Saccharomyces cerevisiae S288C: one gene and its partner. The protein of the gene in region 2 interacts with the protein of the main gene of each other region in a pairwise test. Each region holds a gene or a part of one and is shown on either strand. Other genes may lie near its edges.

Region 1 (3,112 bases), on a different chromosome or scaffold from region 2:
AACATGAAAAGGGAAAGACAGCAGAAGAAGAAGAAATGAACTTAGGTATTCCACCAATTGAGTTAGAAAAGTGGGACAATGCTAAGGAAGATTGGGAAGATTTCTGCAAAGATTACAAAGAATGGAGAAATAAAAATGGTCTTGAAATAGAAGAGGAAAACCTTTCTAAAGCTTTTGAAAGATTCAAGCAGGAATTTTCTAACGCTGCAAGTGGATCAGGTGAACGTGTGAGAAAAATGAGTTTTAGTGGTTACTCACCAAAGCCTATTTCAAAAAAGGAAGAGTAGATGGCCAAAAACGACAGATGCGTGTGGAAGTCACAGTCTTGTTGTCTTATTTTCCAGTTCCTGTGGGAACTTACTTTCAAATGTTTTTCATACACTTTGACATATTGCAGTAAATTATATATGTAATTTTATATACGCTTTTACCTACACGAATTATTGTCTAACTTTTTTTTTTCTTCATTCCTAACGAGGAAGAGATTCAAGACACTGCAACTAGAAGTCGTCCGGATCAAACAGATCAAGATCAAGATCTAGGGCATCATCATTATTTTCTTCCTTTTCTTTATCTTTGGTATTGTCTGCCTCATCACCAACTTCTTTAGCAGTACCATCAAATATAAACGAGTCTGTCTTTGGTGTACCTTCTTTCTTGGCCATCTGCCCTTTTTGTTCTTCACTTTGAGATGGCGGTACGGTCGGTACTTCTGTTTCTTCTACTTCTTCACCGGGTATTCTAGTTAGCTCTTTACTATGTAATGAGGCCATAGCAAGCATTCCTCTTCGTAGGGCATCCTCTGCGGGCCATATAAAATTGTTGGGTCCCACAGCTCCCTTGTCGAACGTTGGTGGTATTTTGGTAAACTTGGAGAGTTTGGTGGCATAATCCAACAACTCTGTCGAATTGATTTTCGATCTTTGCTGTAAAATTGTGTTTTTCTCGAACTCTACTTGTTCAAGCATCGGTAGTGCTTTTAACTCGTCATGACATTCATTTAGAATTTCCAATATCTTCCTGGTTTTAGAATCTAGTTCTTCAGAGTCTTTGTCAATCTTCTGTAAGTTGCGGTAGATATTGTCATATTCAGCTAACAGTTTGACGTTTTCAAACAAGGCCTCATCAGTTCTGATCAAATCCTTGGCAATATCAAGGTTTGGTTTGAAACGATCTACAGATTCCACCAACTTACTCAATGTATCCTCGTACCGGCACAAATCTTCGTAGAGTTGGACCTTAGATAATTTGTCTTCACTATTCGTGTTTGAAGTAGCCTCTGCTACCAGGGATACAGAGGATGATCTGATGTGACCCATAGAAAACTCTACCGCTTTAGTATCTTGGACAGACATAACATTCGTTGTGTGTACTCTGGAAGTAATTGATACTAGATGCTTTCTCCACCGTTAACAATATACCAGAAAACCTTGTTGAAAACGGGACACGTTATAACTACTTTCCTTCGCGGTATGGTGAGCAGAGAATGCAAAAGTTTATCTTTTTCTCCAGCCTACCTTACGTAGGTGGTAATGCACTATTTTTTCGCATTTCTTTGAAAAGGCTGGCAATACGTCAAAGGCTATGTATGCTATAAGGGAAAGAAAGCTTATACGGAAAATAGCAACTGAATGTACTATGTTACTGTGCATTCGCATTCTATGTTAAAATTCAAAATCCATTGAGATGTATACACAAACATTTAAATAAGACATTTATATAAGCCGGCGCTTCCTGAAGTTCAGCACATGAAAAAATAGTGCTGCTCTTCTACCTTCAACCCAAATTGGTATTGAACCCAGAGCCTTTTTCAGGACTGGTTGCGATACCATCATGCTTCAGTTGCTTTTCAACTTCTTCCTTAAAGCCCTTTTTCCATAAATCATGATTTTCACCAATGACATAAGTAAGCGTCTTCTTCATATAACCTTCAGGACCTAAGAAACCCAACGCTTCTATAACATCTTCCAACAGTATTGTCATTCCGGAGCCTCTCTCCTCGCCTACTCCTGGATGCCTTATATTCACTATATGGACATGAAAATGGTAATATGAAGGTTGATAATGAATGAAAACTCTTAGCTCGTCCGGGTTTACATTATAGTCATAGTGCTGGGGGATGATGGTCTTAATCTTCTTATTGAGTCTAATTAACCAATCTCTATGGTTTGGGTTCAAATCTCTCAAAGATTTGATGTCGTCCCTGTACACGATCGCGACCAGGTATAACGAATCAATGTTGATTCCGTCCCACTTCATATCGGGCAAGATGACGAATCCATCCTCTTTATTCCTGCTACTGTATTCCTTATAAACAACTCTATCATCCTCGGCGCCCTCGTAAAGAATGTTGTTTACCCATTTCATTCTTTCGCTGGTACACATCTCTTGGATAAAGGGCACAACTATGTTTCTATACATATCAGGAGTTTCTCTGACGACATGTAAATCCTGCTGGTCGTATCCCTTGATGTGGAACTGCGAGGCGGGCCAAATTAAGTTAACCTTCGCAGTTGGGTTATGCAAAATATGCTGCTTCAAAACAGACAACCCCCAGTAGTAGATGTCATTCGAAGTTAATTCCTTCAGATCAGTAATACCGTTTAAAAAGGAGTACTCGTCTATTTCACGATGAAAGAAAATCGGAGTGCTACGGCCACTTTGAGAGGGTCTACGTACCGTTTCATCAAATATGAAATGCGTCTTTTCAGCAGTTAACACGGCATCCTTCCCATCTATGCTGCCTAGTAGTGAGATTACCTTTGTATGAGGGTTCGAATCTAACACCCTGACGTATTTAAACCTCCCAATTAAACTAGCTAAATCTTGGGAACCCATCATGTATTTTTTTACTTTTACACGCTCAAATCTTTTCAATTTTGCAATGAAAAGGTACCGACCTAACATATATTTGAAGACCAAACGAAACCCCCGTGCTTCTGTTTCTCTTCTTTCTGCCTTTATACTCATTGGTATTGTCACCCCTTATTTCCCCCCTAGGCGTCTGCGCGGCCGCTGTCATGGGGCTGTCCTTTCGGACTAGCATATAATCACTGACGCTAGCTCTAATCGATCAATAATTAAGTGGAAGTATTTTGTTGAGGTGGGTGAT
Region 2 (2,743 bases):
CTATCAAAAGAACGAATATGACTAGTGCAAGTATTACCAATACTGGAAACGAAACCATGAACCTTCCACAGATGCGGTCGATTTGGCTGGATGAAGATGAAGAAGCTGAAAAACTCTACGGTCTGCAGGCCCAGCAATTCATGGGATCTGATGATGAAGAAAACCTAGGCATTACTTTCATCAACAGCGATAAACCTGTGCTGAGTAACAAGAAAAACATTGAGTTGCCTCCACTTTCACCAAATTCACATCCGTCTTGCCACCACAGGAGAAGTAATTCTAACTCTGCAAAGTCTAAAGAATCATCGTCATCATCGTCCAGCGCCAACAAGACAAATCACAAAAAGGTTTTCCTTAAGCTTAATTTGTTGAAGAAAAAGTTGCTTGGTGCCCAACCGGACATAAGAGGTAAAGGTATCTCCACACCATTTGATTTTCAACATATTTCACATGCTGACACTAGAAATGGATTCCAAGATGAGCAATTGCAGGAACCTTCATCGCTGTCCACAGAGATTAAGGACGACTATACCTCCTCCTCAAGCAAGCGGGATTCGAAATCACTAAATAAAGCTTTTGTCACTGAAAGGATCCCTGCTAATCGTGAAAGCAAACTCATTTCAAGATCGCACGAAAATAAGACATCAAGACTATCAGTCGCGCGTTCGATCTCAGTAACGTCCTCCAATTACTCTAAAAACACACAAGGAAACAATCATTCCATTAATGGGAGAGTCGTATCTACGTCAACTATGGCTACATCTATTTTTGAGTATTCCCCAAACGCATCTCCAAAACAATTTAAAAATAAGTCACACGCTCTGGGTCATAGATACACTAATTCCACGGATTCTAGTGAGTCTTCGCTGGATTTTTTGAAGAACTACAACTTCCCCACACTACTTGAAGATAAGCCTATTTTAGACTTCTTGCCTCGTTCTCAGAGGTCAAGCGCTTATCGTAGCCTTTTAGAGACCCCAAACTCAAATAAGGACTCAGCAAAAGCCTTCTTTCCTTCACGCCAAAGCCCTCTTCCCAAGAGAAGAAACTCTATAGCTACGCCTTCTCCACAATCTAAATTTTCCTACTCTGACTCCCCTGTAAACCATAGAAAATCTTTCGATGATGTTCTTTATTCTTTCAACCAGCTCGAGCCCCTGCAAACTTAAGCTAAGGACAGAAAATGAAAAAAAAAAAAAAAAAAAATTCAAAGAATCAGCTTATAAAACATATTCAAGGACCATCTGAAGTATCATTCATTCGTTTTTTACTCGTTAATCTCATTCATTCGTTTCCTCATTCTTTTTTCTTTGTTCTTTATTTCGGCTATTTTTTCACTATTAAAATAACTAGAGCTAACAATATTATTTCTTCTGCTTTAGTTACAAAACAAGGACATTCATTTAACTTGGCGTTATCCCATACATTCGTTTATTATATCTTCTTTTAAAACACAATTTCTTTTACAGTTAAACTTTTCTGATTTATTATATATTACTTAAGATTGTTCATATAACTAACATTTATATGCTTATATGCGTGAAGTGCGCTTTTGTAGAACATGTGGCTGTTTCTGTAGAAGCCTTGTCTTTCTCTGTAATCCTTTAAAGGCCAACCGTACGTGCTTAATTACAAGCTTTGTTCGCATTGCAAGAAAGTTAGAAAAAAAATCAATTCTGAAAGATAATTATAATTCAAACGGTAAACCATTGGTTAAAAGAGGGACATAACATTTCACTAGTTCAATACATTATATGCTCTTTAACAATGACAGATAGATTAACACAATTGCAGATATGTTTAGACCAAATGACGGAGCAATTCTGTGCTACTTTAAACTACATAGATAAGAACCATGGTTTTGAACGATTGACCGTAAATGAACCTCAGATGTCCGATAAGCATGCCACAGTAGTACCTCCTGAGGAATTTTCTAACACGATAGATGAGCTATCCACGGACATTATACTTAAAACAAGACAGATAAACAAGCTTATTGACTCGTTACCTGGTGTTGACGTTTCAGCTGAAGAGCAATTAAGGAAGATTGATATGTTGCAGAAAAAGCTAGTTGAAGTGGAAGACGAAAAAATTGAGGCCATCAAAAAGAAGGAGAAACTTTTAAGGCACGTTGATTCTTTAATTGAAGATTTTGTAGATGGCATTGCAAACTCAAAAAAGAGCACATAAACTTAAGTTTTACAAAGAAATTTGCGAACAGAGGACAGAAAATGTACTATAGTTATATGGCAGAGTTAAGCGTATGTATGTTATTCTTATAAATAATTGTGCTACTCTATTTGTACCGGAGAATTATTGAAGCAATGGGAGAAAAATCATAATGGAGAAAATCTTTCTACGAGTTACTTTGCAAGGCAATCTAACGATTCTAAAAGACACAATACACTAAAGAAAAAACTTTGGAAGTACAGTTTTTTCCCCAAGTTGAAGTGTGGACTCATTGTGAAGATGTAAAAATGTAAAAACCAACCGACAATGCACTCCCAGCCAAATTCATTGTAGACCTCCCATTTGATAGAAAAGGAAGGTTCAGCAGTTGTCCACGGATTCCAAGATATCATTCTCTTACATTGCACGCACATGAAAATGATCATCGAGAGTAAGGATCCATACCATGCAAAATTAAACCAAACTGGAGAGTCTGTGTCTAACGTAATTGGCCATTTTTCCACGGCGAACGCATCTTCAAAAGTGACCTTATTTTTACCGTATTTAATATAGT

The links.
Region 1: the proteins of SRB7 (region 2) and MED4 interact in binary tests that used the Saccharomyces cerevisiae proteins (3 or more experiments, as listed by UniProt).

Annotation. Positions count from the first base shown.
Region 1 is NC_001147.6:656,990-660,101, reverse strand, and holds MED4 (Med4p), read right to left. Parts: upstream 1,356-3,112; coding exon 501-1,355; downstream 1-500. Other genes in the region: ALE1 (lysophospholipid acyltransferase), read left to right, coding at 1-287; DCS2 (5'-(N(7)-methyl 5'-triphosphoguanosine)-(mRNA) diphosphatase), read right to left, coding at 1,777-2,838. UniProt on the Saccharomyces cerevisiae protein: Component of the Mediator complex, a coactivator involved in the regulated transcription of nearly all RNA polymerase II-dependent genes.
Region 2 is NC_001136.10:1,077,474-1,080,216, reverse strand, and holds SRB7 (Srb7p), read left to right. Parts: upstream 1-1,767; coding exon 1,768-2,190; downstream 2,191-2,743. Other genes in the region: GIC2 (Gic2p), read left to right, coding at 18-1,169; PMT7 (putative dolichyl-phosphate-mannose--protein mannosyltransferase), read right to left, coding at 2,364-2,743.